3 linked regions of the Drosophila melanogaster genome follow. The protein of the gene in region 2 interacts with the protein of the main gene of each other region in a pairwise test. Each region holds a gene or a part of one and is shown on either strand. Other genes may lie near its edges.

Region 1 (5,645 bases), on a different chromosome or scaffold from region 2:
GCTGTTTTTTTTTTTCTCCATCCAATTTTCAGCTGAACTGGCATCGGGAATTGGACTGGCATACTGTAGATTTATTTTCTGGATGGAGGGAGGTTCGAATAGGTGAAATTGCATCACGCTGTGCCTCGGTTTCTGTGGAATTGTTTGCAGGCTGAAAATTGTTGATTTTGACACCTTTCGGGCTGCTGCATTGTGTTCCTCTTTATTTCCATCTAATAAATGCATTTGTGCCCTTTGTTGGCTGCATTTTTTACGGTTTTCATTCCTTTTTGCGAACTCTGGCGGGGGGTCATCAACTGCCGAGTCCTCCAGTTGGCCACTTGACTGCCGCTGGTCCTGCGGCCAGAGGATATCTTTATTCGCTCATTAGCAGCACGATTGTGCTGGCTGCAGGTCCTTCGAGTCCTGGAGCTCCTGCGGTGAGGTACTCAGCTCAGTGGGCGTGTGAAATTACCGAAAATACAAGGTAAATTGCGTTTTCTTTCAACTCAATTATGCTTGATTCGTCGAAATGTTGGCCGTCTGATTGCAAGGATTCTTCTAACCACAATTGATTAAATAGATATCAGAGTATTACTTCTAAATATTTATTTAATTTAATATTTTTGATATTTATATTTAATATTTATCATTTCGACCAATACTTTTTTTACTTATAATGAAGCTTTCACAAAATCAAAACTAAAGCTCAGATGCCGAGTTTCAAATCGAATTAGCTACACACACGTTTTGCAGATTAGACCGCAAATGAAACCGACTCAGCTAAAAATCGCTGAACTTTCGACAGCATTTCGCCTTGTAATCAAAATCCATTAGTCAACATAATTACGCTTTAATGGACTCGAAAGTTGTTTATGCCTTGCGTCGATTCGAACCGAAAGCTATGGGTAAATATGCGTGGCTTAATTAGCGGCCATAAAAATTTGATAGATTTTAATCTATCGCACAAGCTGTTGTTGTGCTCTCGCCGATTCCTAGCCCATTAATCTCAGAAATCCGGCGACGAATTTGACGGCTCCGGCTGATAACAGAGTGTGAAAATAGCACTACCGAATATTATTCCATTGTTTTTGAAAAACTCTTGGGGTTTGATAGGAAATGTTATAGTGTTGACCGAGGAAACGAAGTGAGACATTTGGCACGTCCCGACAATTGATGAACCTGCTCTGATTTTGATTTGGAACTGCGATTCGGACACTACATAAATTATGCAAACTTTGTCGTGTGCCAAAAAAAAAATGTAATGCCTGAAAATTAACATTTAAATCGTAGCGAAAAATAAACCCGGTAGCACATTTCATAAAACTGTCCCGATCAAGTTTCGTAGATGATTTATGGAAACAGCAAGTTTGAAGTGCATCCGTGGTGTGGAATTGCTAATGTGGACTGGATTGTCAGCTGTACGAAAACCGGGACGTTTTAAAATAGGGAAAGTTAATATATAATATCATAAATTAAATAAGTATTTTAAATTATAAATTTTACGCCATGTTGTTGAATGGGGTTTACGAACTTTAAAAACACCATTAACAAAATACTTATATTCCTTAATCTTTAGTTTTATGCAGAAATATATAAAGAGCGTCTAACAAATCCTTGCTAAACTATAAATTTGCACAACAAAAATCCCCCTGAGCAAGGGAAATATTTAAAACGCACATCCTCTGTAAGCCTCGAAAACCCTTTTCGAACTTCCTGCAAATTTGGCCAGAGTCCGCAAACAGAGACATTTTGCCCACCTGGCATTAGATTTCCATTTAGCGCTCGTTCCGGCCCAGAAATGCAACCGCAAAAACAAGAACTATGAATGGCAGTTTAAGCCAAATTACACAAAGGCCAAGAGCAACAACAAAGTCGTATAGTGGTGGCTGTTTGAACGGAAGCCATATGCAGAAAATTCGGTAAAGGCAGCGCACCGAACTGGACCCGCCCCTCGAAAAGCAGCCATTTCACTCGCTCCTTCGCAGCTAGGCCATATCTGCAGGGTAGATAAAATCCACAAGGCGCGCGCAAAGAAGACGGCCATACTACACCGAGCACAGTGCCTCCCGCTCTGGCCCGATAAACTGGTTTGGCCTGTACTGGCGAAGAGAGAAGACTCGCCGCAGCTCAGCTCTCTTCGAGTAGCGCACACTTGGTGGTGTTGCCGGGCTTACCGGATTTATTCAGACATCGAACGTCGTCGAGAGCACACGTCTATATTCTCCGTCTTCCGACACAAAAAATAAGAAAAACGAGCGCGTCGATCGCCGTAGAGCACAAGTCTTGACAACCCGAGTGTGTGTGTGATTAATAAAGTAACTAAACGTATATATGAAAGCGTTTCCAATGCGTCGCTTAGTGTGAGAAAATCAACGAAACATAGAGAGTTACAAATAAGGACTTCCCAGAGGATTAGACAAACAGAACAGATTAGATTAAACAGAAAACCGTGCTTAAACCCTCGAAAAAAAAGCCGCCAACATAGCCGAACTAACCGCCGTATTTATGACTAAGATGATTCCGCCGGTTCCCACCGCCGCTGCAGCCGTCATGATGCCCACACCAAAGCAGAAGATCGGTTTCAGCATCGAGTCCATTGTGGGCAATGATGTCAGCACCGCCGGCGGCAATTCGACGCCCGATCTATCCGGTCCCCAGAGTCCGCCGCCCGGCGAGCGCAATGTGCCCGGTTCGCCGCCCCAAACGCCACCAGCCACACTCACCTTGATCCCAGGCTCGCCCCCGCACCATCTGATGGCTCCTCCTGCCCACGGACTGCCCTATCCGCATCCGCATGCTCAGCAGCAGCATTTGCAGGCACCACATCCGCATCCGCATCTATCGCCTGCGCAGCAACATGTGCTCCACCAGCACCTCCTCATGCAGCAGCAACATCCGGGCACACCCAAGAGCCACCAGGACATTCAGGAGCTGCTGCAGAGGCTGCACCACAATGCCGCCATGGCCAGCGGCCTGAGTCCGCTGCAGACACGCCTCTCCCCCGAAACGGAGCAGCCCCAGATGGCCGTCTCCCTCAAGCGGGAACGCTCACCTGCACCACCTGCCATGGAGCAGGCCGAGAATCCCGCCCAGCGCATCCAGCCACCGCACACGCCTCCCAAATCCGTGAGCCCCCAGTCCTCGCAGCCCTCGTCTTCGCCCACTCTGCTGATCAGCAGTCCACATGCCACACCGCCACAGCAGCAACAGCAGCAGCCGCCCCCGAATTATCCAAAGCCCGCCATGATGCATCCCGGAGGAGCTGGACCCATGATGATGCCGGGCATGCCGCCCGCTGGACTCGTTCGCCCCTTTCCCATGGGACCCGGAGGACCACCGATGCCGCAGGGTCAGCCCGGCTTGCCGGACATCAAGGCGCTGCCGCCCTACATCAACGCTCCGCCGGAGCTGCCGCCTCAGCACAATCCGCATCTCATTGCCGCTGCCCAGTTCCAGATGGCCGCCGCCCTGCAAGCGGGTCATGTGCTTGGTCCAGCGGCCGCCGCCGCTGCTGCCGCCGGCCTGCCGCCCCATGCCGCCCAGTTTATGCCCAATCCAGGCATGGCCAGGGATAGCTATCAGCTGTACCCCTGGCTGCTCAGCCGCCATGGAAGGATCTTCCCACACCGATTCCCTGGAAGTAAGTATCTTTTGGAATGATTCTTTATATGCGAAACAAAAAAAGGAGATTTAGGGAAAAAAATAGTTCTTGGAGTCCAAATTGAAGCCAAAAAATGAGAAATTTCTTTAAAGTAATAATTCTAAACCTTCATAAATGTAATAAGAAATGAAAGATGCTAATATGTTTTAAATTAGTTTTGATGAGTCTCTTATAATTGCATTATATTGTCATTGCTAATTTATTGCTGTGAGTTATGATCTTAAATACCGATGACTAACCGAAACCCTTTCTTCTTTGCCTCTTTCAAGGTTTCCTGGTGCCCCCGTTCCGCAAACCGAAACGCATCCGCACCGCCTTCTCGCCGTCGCAGCTGCTGAAGCTGGAGCACGCCTTTGAGAGCAACCAGTACGTAGTGGGGGCAGAGAGAAAGGCCCTGGCCCAAAACCTCAATCTGTCCGAGACGCAGGTGAAGGTGTGGTTCCAGAACCGACGCACCAAGCACAAGCGGATGCAGCAGGAGGATGAGAAGGGCGGCGAGGGAGGATCGCAGCGGAATATGCACAACGGCAGCGGCGACGAGGACGACGACGAACTGATCGACATGGAGATGGACGAGTGTCCCAGCGATGAGGAGCACGAGCTGGACGCCAGCCACTGAGAGAAGCGGCCAGGAGATAGTCCTGCGGCGGTCCGTGAGTTCCTTATCCTGGCGAATGCAGTCCAGTTCCAGTTATCGAGGGTTCCCAGTCGAATCTCGGCGAGAGTAACATAGTTTGTTTTGTTGTGATATATTCTTAGAGCGATCCCAAGGCGTTAGGCTAAGTGTATATAGATAGGAAAGTATTAGAGACCCTTTCTCTCCATCCACACTTCTCTCTCAAGATCCGTGCCAAATCCTTGCGAAGTTTCGAGGTTGAGTAGAGCTCAAAGAATGCAAGTTGTTTCCTTTCTTTCCCAAATATCAAATGCAAAAAAAGAAACACTGAAAAAATAAACCTAGGCTAGACACCACCAACTATAACTGTACAAATTTTATGACTTAAGCCTGTAAATATTCATGACATTACTTTTAATTAGTGAATTCTTCAAAACAAATCGTACTCGATCCACTAGCTATTGTATAATTCTTGTATATTGTATGACGATCTAGCATTTATTTATGTTTAGTCTTAAGCACGAACCTCTAGAGTCCCTCAACTGCAGCTGGATATTATTTAAAGCCGTCTAATATAAAGCCCTAGTTGCTAGTAACTACATCCTAAGCTAATACGATTGTAAGAAACACAAACGAATATGATCATATAAAATATAAAATATTCATTATGAAAAGAAATCGAAAGAGAAATGTTTGATTGATTTATGTGTTGGGGGCAACCACTTATTATCCAGAATACTAGATAATTTATTTATAATTTAAACAATATTGGTATGTTTTGAGTTATGGGTGTGAACTTTAACTTCTCATTCAGCTTTATTACTTTCCTTCAACAATATTTTACTTTAGTTTATTTTTTCTTGTTTAAGCCTTGGCATCTCCGCCCCTTTTTAATTGAGTTCGTCCCACTGTGTGACAGAGTAAAAAATTATGCGCCGTCAATTAATTAGCGTGTGACATTTAACATTGTTGTTGCTGTTTCTGTCCACTGGAAATGGTGACAGGTGCGCTGGAAAAGGGGATTGAGGGGGTGCGGCCGCGACTGAAAAGAGCGGGATAGCTGAAGGAGGCGGCTATAAAATGCATTTAGCGATCGTTATTTCTTATAGATTTCATAAGCATTTTAATTGCACAATTTAAAATGCAAATCGTGTTTTATTGTAGAATTTAATTGAGCGCAGTTCGTGTGAGATCAAAGGGGCGGGGGTGGATGCTGAACGGGGGCTTTTGGGGGTTGGGGTGGCTTTGGAAACTGGTTAACAAGCCACTCGAGGTGTGCTAATGATCTAAAAGCCAAATTTATGATTATTGAACCACAAATTTATGCGAAAACTGTGGCGGTATATAAGCGCAGTTTTCATTATCGCCAAATCGGCTATCAGCTAA
Region 2 (4,361 bases):
ACGTTCGCAGCATGCTGGAGAATTTTGAAGGTAAGTGCGGCTCAGTTGCTCCGAGCAATAGATTGTAATACCGTGTTCTCCTCCAGAAATACTCAAGCTGGCGCGCCGTGAGAGCCACAGCCAGATTTCGAAGACCACGCAGTGCGAACAGGATGCCCTGGAAATGCAGGTCCGCGCGGCCAACATGGGTGAGTAAATCCACTCCCTGGGAACCAGATTCGAGCCATTTCCTTCATGCATTCCGCTTTATAGTCCGTGCCGGCGAGTCTCTGATGAAGCTGGTGGCCGACCTAAAACAGTACCTAATCCTCAACGACTTTCACTCGGTCAACGAGGCCATCACAAACAATTCGCAGCTGTTCAGGAACACACAGAGCGAGTGCGACAAGAAGCTGATGAAACTTAGGGACGAAATGGCCATGGACTTGTACGACCTGGAGGAGGAGTACTACACCAGCATTTTTAAGTAGCGCTAGGAGGGGAAGGGGTTCACCTTATTTGTGATGAACTGGCTTTGGCCGAACTGTAGAATTTAATAAGAAATCATTACCACATTCACTTGTAAATTTTGTTTAGCAAACAGCTAGTCGCGTCGCACTCACAAGACCTGCTCCTGTTCCGCCTCCGAGGACAAGGAGCGACTGTCCGGAGAGGCCGCGCTCAGGCTGTCAACTAGGTCGCCCGTGTAAAAGAGCACCGCCTTCGGGACGATTTGGGTGCGTAGCAGGAAGCCCACTTCGAAATCGTTGCCAAGGATCAGCTTGGTCTTTTCATCCGCGAGCGACAGGTCCAAGGCCTGCGGCGGAGCAAAGAAGCGAAAGAAGGACTCCCGAGGCATGACCTTGGTGACTCGGTGTGCTCTGTTCCTTCGCCTGCTTTCCACCGTTTGGAGAGTGAGATTGGAGCCATCGCGCCAGTGGATGTGGCAGCCTTCGCAACGAACTATTTCGGGCCCTTCGAACAGAAAGGGATACTCCGGGTCCGCCGAGTGCTGCAGAAAGTAGCGCTTCGTGAGCAGCAGCGAGGAATCGTGCAGGAAGCTATTGGGCCGAAACTGAAAGATGACCATGTAGCTGTCCTGGTCGTAAGCCAGGCGCACATCCATTAGGCTCTCCAGAAGCGGCTCGTCGTGATCCTGGACCAACTCCGAGAGCAGGGGCACGTTCTGGAAAACTGTCAGCCAAAAGCGTGGAACACCCAGCGTAGTCGGCGAAACCGGAGCCAGTTTTTGCCTCAGCTGTCGCAGCTCCTCGTTGTTCCCGAAGTCCAGGTACAGAGCATCCTGCGGGTCCTCGGGCCAGGTCTTCTCCGTTTGGATCGGTGGCTCCACCGAACCCTCCAAAATATCCCGCCTCGCATCGAAGAGCGCGCAGCTCTGGCCGTAGAAACGTCGCTCCAGCTCGTAGACTTCCCGGAAGAACTGCTCCGAAATGCGTACCTGTTGCAGCTGATTGTGCCGCAGTGCCCGTATGCGGTTCTGCACGGGCTCCGCCAGCTGGCCGATCATGTGCCGCAGAAAGGCCTTCCGGCTGCGGGCGGGAAGGTCCGCCGGACTCAAAGCCGGCTCTGTGGACTCCTGGGTATATGTGCCCAGGGAGCGCAAGGACCCGCTGATGCCGTCTGCCCTCGACTCCGTGTGGCTGTCTTCCTGGGTAACCCCCTCCGCGCTGTCAGCCATCCCAATCATTGTGCAATTCGGTGCAATAACTTCGAAATTTGGCAACATATATGTATATAAATCTACAAGTATATTCCAGCTCTGCGACTGGGCACTTGGAAACTACTATGCTAGATCAAAGCTGTTCCTTGATTTCCACAGAAACCGGCCTACTACTGGGAACGAAAATTCGGCTGATGATTCCTTGGATTTGCCCAGAAGCAATCGCATTTTTGATTACAATAACTGCGTAATCTAACAAATAATTTCGCCTACGAGGAATACCACTTCAGAGTTACGTGCATAATTAATGAAGGCGAATTCCAGAAACAGTGCATGATTTGCCGAATTCCGGGCAAATCGGTGGCCAATATCTGTCGGCGGTTGCGTTATCGGAGCTACCTGCTCATGAGCCCAGATATGGGCTGTGGACTGGACACTGAAGGGAGGGTCATGCCCGGCACTTATCGGCCCACCATAAGCTGACATTGCGGCAGGTCGGAACCGGACGGCAGCATAATGCTCCATTCAGATCCCGAGCATGGTTTATTTTGTTGGATTGAAGCTATCTGCCCCGCCGCTCGCCTCTTATCTGCGACACCTGGGCACTTGGGCCCAGTCTTGGTGCCTGGTCTTGGGTTTTATTGGCCCGACGGAGCGATAAGTGGGGCCCGTTGTCTTTTGGGTGCCATAAACCGATGGCCCGAATCGCCATTATTTATTGGGAGAAAAACCGAAGTAGCTGTCCAATCTAATCCGTTCGTCTGTCGCATGCTAATTTATGGGCGACTAATCCTCACGGGGGGTCCAATTCCTCCACCAGCGATTCGGTAATCTTCCTCATCGACCCGAGTCCACCAGATTGCAGCTGCACCGGATGGCCTCCAGTGGATATTGCTGTTGGATTGTTGGTTAACTGAATTAGTTTGGACTTACCGATGACATCAGCGCGGCCAATGACTTCAGAATCTCGAATGTCATTCAAACAAAATCTCTTTATTTTGATAGGATGGGTCTCCCCCATACTTTTACATGCTATCTTAAACTGAAAACAAAAACAATTCGTCGGCGTCCTAGAAGATGAAGTCTTCGTCCTGGCCCTCCTCTTCCAGCAACGAGAGGCTTCTCTCGAAGCGCTTGATGTCCTGGTACCAGCCGGGGTCCCCGGACGATATATCCTCCGGCCTGCCGCCCTTGTGGCGGTACAGGAACTCGGCGTGGCCCTGGCCGGGAACTCCGTTGACCGTGCAGGCCACAAACTGGTTGAACACCTTAGACTCCCAGTCGCCGCCGACGTAGCGCAGCGCGGAGGCCTCCACCTGGATTTGCACGAGGTACTCCCGCTCCTCGGTGCGCACAATGAAATTCTGGTGCTGCGGCGGCGTTCCCTTTTCGCCGTACGAGTACAGCTCGAAGTTGCTCCCGGTCAGCGGCTGATACTGCCGCTCGGGGCTGCACACGTAGCCCACCTTCAGGGAGGACAGGAAGAAGGACGGCTGACTGAGGCTGCCCACCACCATGCTGCTGCCATCGTCCATAAAGAGGGCAAAGTACACGTACCGGTTGATGGAGCTTAGGCAGCGCTCGGTGCCGAAGCTGTGGTCCCGGAAGCCCACCATTTTCAGCGCCAGCTCCTTGCCATCGAGCGTGACCTGGCCGGCCAGTTCTCCGTTCTGTTCGTAGTGGGTGCGCTTCTCTACGATGTGGTTGACGCTGCGCAGCAGGCTGTAGAACTTTTCGTTCCAGGCCTCTCTGGCTATGGAGTCGGCTATCAGGGCGCTGCTCAGATCTCTGTTGTAGTCGAAGTGCTCAGCGGAGGAGCTTTCGAAACGGAGGTCCAAGTCCACGGCTACGTCCTGCACGTCCGGCCCTTGAGTTTTCAGCAGTCCGGAGTACTTGAGCCGCCACACACGCATAGATGCCTCCTGGTAGACGTGGAAGCCTCCACCCTGGAACGCGTTGCTCTCCGCTCCATCCGCGGTGGTGAAGTATACCATATCGGGCAGATTCGGCGAACTGAACAGGCCGCTTTCGGGAAGCCACAGGTACAGTGCCGCCTTGAGGACTCCGCGCCTCCTTCGCTCCAAGGTGACCATTAGTTTCTGGCCCTCCTTGTTGGCCGCCATGAAGCTGACCACGTCATAGCTCTTCGGGTCGTTGCTGAGCTGCTGCGGCCTGTCGACCTTGGCCAGGTGCTCCTCGGAGCCGAGCAGCTCCTCGTTCCGACGGTAGATGCGGTACCTCAGGCGGCGAAGGACAAGCAGGGCGATCCAGAACTTCACCCGGTAAAAGATGCCTTTCAGTGGGTACTTGCCGAAGATTAGTGGCGGCTTCAGGCCCAGTAGCTTAAGTGCCACGACCACCAAGGCCGTTAGAATGCCGAAGATCAGCCCGAGCGCTGCGATCATGTTGTGTCCCAAGATGCTCAAAATCTGTTCAAAATTAAATCCTCTTTGGAGTTCCGCGGAATGTCGATCCTCGTCAAAAATGCTCCGTTACCGAACGGCTTGGCCAATTGGACGCGACTGCGAGGCCTGCACTGGACAATGTGTGGGGAAGTGGGTCTTGTGTCCCGCTTATCGCCACTCGATAAGCCGCCACCGTCTAAACCCACTTTTCGGCCCCACCTCCTCGGACTGGGCTTATCGGGTCGGAATCGACGGGCTTTGCGGCGATGCATGACTAGCTCGCTAAATCTGGATCT
Region 3 (5,566 bases), about 14 Mb from region 2:
GCCAACGCAATGGGGGATTGTTAGCCAAAATGAGCGGGACGGAATGCTGCACTACATCGTAGTCGTGGAACCGCTTGTACGCGTCCGTTTTGTCTGCTTTGAATGGGATTAATGGGATCAAGTGCATACTACGCCGAAGTCTAACTTGCGAAATGTGCACACCCAAACACAAGCTAATCCAATATATGTCAGTTTTATTCATTAAAGGCAAGAGGAGATGTGAAACCTGGGCAAGACGTCGCCGCCACCTAAAAACAAATCAGGAGCATAATTTTCTATGTCTCTACAAAAGAACTTTTTTGTCAAGATACCCTTATACTTCATAATTTTACATATAAAACATATATACATATATATATTTATATTTATGTATATAATAATATTTGTGTATATATTTTTATTTTTAATATAATACATACATTTACATAAATATATATATATAGATATATATATATATATAAAAATATAGATGTATATATATATCTATATATATATATATATATTTAATAGCAAAAGCAAACGAAAATTATACAATTTAAAACGCAATTTTTTTTATGTTTACCTATAGTTGATTTTGTTTAGCGAAAACAAAAAACAAAAACAAAAACAGGCATTTGTACATAACAAGCCAGCAATTAGTTACCAAATTAGATATTAACTAAATTAAGATATAATAACATTGTAAATAAATATAGCTGTAAGCCCCGTAGCTAATGCTATACTATCTAAGTTAGTCTAGTTTTGTAAACTATTCTATCTATCATAATAATAATAATAATTTGTATAAGTGCAAACTGAACAGAGAAACCTTGTAGCCCAACTTTTAGCATAGCATAATTTATTCAATTCAACTCTGAAGCAGCGCTATTTGTCGACCGACCGCCCCCGAAAATGAAGAACAAAGCCACATTGGATGGATCTCGATGTGGTTTCGCTTTGATTTCGTACCTTATGATCATTTTAGTTAACATTTCGAAATATACAAATGCTAAATTGATTTGCAGACAGACCCTTAACTTTCTATACTCTAAGCAGACAGGTTTCAAGTTCTCAACCGCAAACCAAGCCGCCATCACACTGAAAACCAATTGCAGATACAAATCAAACGAGCAATTCAAATAACTCGATGAACCAAAACAGAAACACAGCCAGCAAACCAGTCGCAGCGAAAGAAAGAACTTTAATCTGAAAGAAAGGAACTTTATACATATAGAATCTATAGAAGTATGTGCAATTAAGTGAGCTAAAACTATACCTTAAACCTTGTAAAAATCGAGCCTTCACTTGAATCCTTCAGTCGACGAGAGCAGTGGATTCAGGTGGAGTTAGGAACATCCCCAACATCCATGTGCCCCAATCCCATCAGCTACGATTATGGCCGTACTTTTAACTAAGCAAATCGATGGAAATTTATATCTCGCCTCACGCCCCCCCTAGCATAAATGGCAAACGCGCATTGCAAATGAAGAGCGAACGATCTTTATATACATACATATAAACACACACACACACACGCCCAAACACATATTATAATTAGTGATTGATATAATGTGAACGCAAACATCTGTGTGCGTTTGTCGTGGATTCGCATACGGAAGCGGGAGAATGCTTTTAAAAGGCAAAAAAAAAAGTTAAATAAACTAATTACGAACCCTTCTTCGAACGCCCAGCCCCGCCCCGCCCCGCCACAACACTCACATATAAACTTGGCATATTATAATATTGATATAAGCAAACAAAAAACAACAAGCGAAATGATAAGAAACCCACTATTTTAAATCGAAAGCAAAGTAAATGAAAAACAAAATAGCATAAGTGAATGTAATTGCAATGGAATGATGCAAATATACATAAAATATATATTTAATTTTAAAATCTATGTGACACTCTTTCCATTTCCTCGTTTTGGGTAATTATTCGCATTCAAAAGAAGGGTTTTTAAATAACTTTGTTTTGTTTTTGAAATTGGGAAAATACTATGGTGAACCCAAGTTGTTCAGTTTACATTTCCCGTTGCTCAAACTTATTTACCAATTATTATATCATGGTCAAATATTCTTAGAACGAACGGATGACTTAATTAATGATAATAATAATTTTGAATCAAATTTAAAGCGCTAACGGTTCGGCGAAGTGATATCGATAACACGCGCGGCGTTGCCACCTCACGCCACACAATTTGACTTTTGCGCTAACGGAAGAGGAAGAGATCGCGAGAAACGACGCGTTTAAAAGAGACTGAAATTAATTCGAGAATCAAGGGAAATATATAACAATAAACGCCTGACAAAATGCTGAGATCGTCGGTGCCCGTGCAGCTGACAAAACTGCGAAATAGCGCCGAGGCCGTGGCGTCCATTGCCCGCGAAAAGGGATCCCAAGGTGGCCAAGGACAAAAGCAACAGGTGGACAAAGAGCTATCCACCATCATGGATGACTTGCAGCGGGATTACGGGAATTACAAGTACACGGTATACCGGTGCGCCAGTAAATTTGTGGCGCTGCAAAAGATATTTCACAGTGAGTCAGTCGCGTAGGTGGTCCATTCGAAGGAGTCCCCAAGGATTAACCTTCAAATTGCAGCTGGAAAAATCCCCTACAAGCTGGTTTTGGCCATTTTGGATCGCCATAACTTGAGTGGTGGCCTGGAACTGATGGTTCCTCCATTCCAGTTGACCTCCCTGCTGCACGATGTATACTTTGCCTGCGAGAAACTAGGCCATTTCAACCAGGATGCGAACTATAAACTGGACAGGGCAACCGGGCTGTTGGCCAACTTCTTCTGGAATGTCTACGATCCGTGGGTTGAGTTTCTGGCATCTTAAGAATATGTCTGATATTTGATTGGTTTCGCTAGGCAACGCAGACACTCCATATCCCTGTTAGAGATCAGGATCACCTTCATACTGCTGTGCAAGCTATATAGCAGCGATCACCTGGTGGGCGACATCTTTGGCCTGCTGGCCGATCCCAAGTCGCAGATCATCTCCAGATATGCATTCGAACAGCTCCTAGCCACGCTGAGCAAGTTACTCAGCTATTTGGGCGAGGCCAAGGCCTATGGCGTCCACAATCTTCCGTTGGCTATGGAGCAGTGCTTTGCCCGCTGTCCGCATGGCGTTGGTGGACTGACCGAGCCGCAGTTCCACAAACTCTGGACGGGAGCGGGTGTCCAGACGAGATTCCTGATCTATGGCAATCTGCTGGCACTGGTGAAACGCATCGAGGACACCGAGCATTTGATTCACAGTAATTCTTGTGCCGGCTGCCGCAAGGAGCACATTGTGGGCATACGTTTCCGGTGTCAGGTGTGTAGGGATATATCGTTGTGCCTGCCCTGCTTTGCAGTGGGCTTCGCTGGTGGTCGCCACGAGCCGGGTCATCGGATGTGCGAGGTCTTCGTGGAGGATCAGCCGCCATTGCGTTGGACCCGCCACCTGGCCAGGCTGTGCGGCTGGCTGGTGATGCCGCGCAAAACACAGGAGGAGGAGCGTCGCGGCTTCTGTAATGCGCAGGAGAGTGGGCCCGCCTTGGGTCAATCCGCTGCCACGCCCATTCCCGCAGAGACGCGCAGTGTGCGCAGTCAGTGCCAGGAGAAGGACCGCACAGTTGTCCTGCAGCAACAGCAGCAGGAGCTCTGCTCCCTGACGGGTCTAGCCAGCGAGGCGTCCAGCAGGCTGCAGTCCATCATCGATCGATTGCTTTTGCAAAATGCGTGGGTGTTTTCCCTTCTTTCGCCACACTTGTTAGCCAAGCCTTAAGGTTCTCTTGCATTTCAGGAAGCTGGAAACCCAGCTGCAAACAGTGGCCACCGCATCTAGTTCGGAAATATCGCAGTTTCTGAGCGCCCATCAGTGCTTTCTGCTGCAGATTATCGAGGATATGCGACAGCTATCAGTGAGTTTTCCAAACATTCGGCCCATTTAAGCTGAGCTAACTCCATTTATATACACTTGCAGCATGCCTCAGCGGTAACTTCGCCGCCACCTGCGCCAGCTGCCCAAGTGGCGCCTTCAGCTGCGCCCCTAGTCAGCTCCACGTTCCTTAGCTCCAGCACGCCTCAGCGACAGATGCTATTCGACATGTATGCGCCCGTGGGTGCCAATCTCACGCACTCCAGTAAGAAGAGAACCTTCAACAGAGCCATGAGACAGCTCCACTAAGTTAATCGTTTCTTGTAGTAAATGGCGCCGACTTGAATCGCAGCTATCTGGAGGCAAACAAATCGGATTACTCGCTCAACGACATAAGCTTGTGGTTCGACCAGCGTCGCTCGAGTGTCCAGCCAGGACAAGGACCTGGTTCCCTGCCGGCTCCTCTGCCGCTGCCCATGCCGCTGGGTGCTCTACTGGAACAGCAGCCGGCAAACGGCGGAGATGGCCGCGACACCGAGATGGTGAACTTTAAGCTGCTGCTGCACAAGGTCAAGGAGATCGTCGAGGACTCGTACAGCGATAATGCCGAACTGTCGGCGGCCACGCAAAATCTGGAGAACGTTCTCGATAGCATCATCAAGAGCGAGGAGCAGCAGCGGCGCATCAGCACGTGAGGATCCGGATCGGATACCAACTCCCATCGATTCCAGCCAGACCAAGTCCACTTAGCTTTAAGTTGTAAAGTTGTTCTAAAGTAATCGTGACAAAATGACACAACCGAGTCATGCATTTATTATATCCTTCTTCCTTTTCCCATGTGCTTTAACATTCGCGTAAATGCTTTAATTTGTAAACTTACAACTCTGACAAGAATGCAATACAACAAAATGTTTTTATAAAAATATACAATGCAAAAAACACATTGTTAACAAAGCATTTACATACAAAATATCAACTTTGTAGATTTTCCAATGCAAAGAGAAGAAAAAAAAAACGCATTTACGCCCCATTGTCATCATCATCATCGGTGAATAGCATAGAAGCCAACACATCGCTGGCCATTTGTGCCTTGTGGAGCTGCGTCAGCTGCTCCCGGCGCTGCTCCACACTGGCTGCCGGCTCACTCAAAACCTTCCAGGCGTCCATCTCCTCGAACAGACTGTTTAGCAACTCCATCTCCATGTCGGCAGGCGACATGTTGTGCTCAGCGACCTCTAGCACATTGAGGTTGCAGTGCAGCTGGAGGAGATCGCGCGTCAGGCGATGCAGTAGCAGACGCAATCGATCGTCCGTTCTGGCGTACACATGCCAATGCTTTCCGGGATCGTCGCGAAGCAGCAAGGTGTCACACCACTGTGACTGCGGCTGGCGATTGTAGAAAATACGCTGGACAGGATCGGCGGCGATGTTGGAAGACTGAAAGTGAGACCCAGGCTCACTGTCGTCCAGCAAGTCGGAAGCTGTAAGGGATTATGAGTTAAAAGGGACAACAAGTGGTCTTGACAAAGCTACTCACTCGGCTCCTTGTTTGCTTCCTGGGCTTGGATCAACTGAAACTGCAGCGTGGAGACGAGTAGCTGCTCGAATGTCGTGCAATCCTGGGCCGACTGGAACTCCAATTTCAGGGAGCAACGTGCCGTGTGCGTCATAATAACGGCCAAAAAGTCTTGGTGCAGCGTGGCGGGCGAAAA

What was found. The genes of interacting proteins can lie anywhere in the genome.
Region 1: the proteins of CG3708 (region 2) and ems interact in a two-hybrid assay, tested with the Drosophila melanogaster proteins (one large-scale study listed by BioGRID).
Region 3: the proteins of CG3708 (region 2) and dah interact in a two-hybrid assay, tested with the Drosophila melanogaster proteins (one large-scale study listed by BioGRID).

Annotation. Positions count from the first base shown.
Region 1 is NT_033777.3:13,899,692-13,905,336, forward strand, and holds ems (empty spiracles), read left to right. Parts: upstream 1-2,161; 5' UTR 2,162-2,487; coding exon 2,488-3,622; intron 3,623-3,912; coding exon 3,913-4,262; 3' UTR 4,263-4,929; downstream 4,930-5,645. UniProt on the Drosophila melanogaster protein: Acts as a homeotic selector gene controlling antennal and mandibular segment identity.
Region 2 is NC_004354.4:928,298-932,658, forward strand, and holds CG3708 (uncharacterized protein), read right to left. Parts: upstream 1,802-4,361; 5' UTR 1,688-1,801; coding exon 599-1,687; 3' UTR 501-598; downstream 1-500. Other genes in the region: MED22 (mediator complex subunit 22), read left to right, coding at 1-30, 87-188, 253-470; CG3706 (uncharacterized protein), read right to left, coding at 2,731-4,065.
Region 3 is NC_004354.4:15,326,153-15,331,718, forward strand, and holds dah (discontinuous actin hexagon), read left to right. Parts: upstream 1-2,189; 5' UTR 2,190-2,291; coding exon 2,292-2,520; intron 2,521-2,583; coding exon 2,584-2,800; intron 2,801-2,857; coding exon 2,858-3,715; intron 3,716-3,779; coding exon 3,780-3,897; intron 3,898-3,959; coding exon 3,960-4,119; intron 4,120-4,181; coding exon 4,182-4,549; 3' UTR 4,550-4,850; downstream 4,851-5,566. Other genes in the region: CG9114 (uncharacterized protein), read right to left, coding at 4,875-5,335, 5,392-5,566.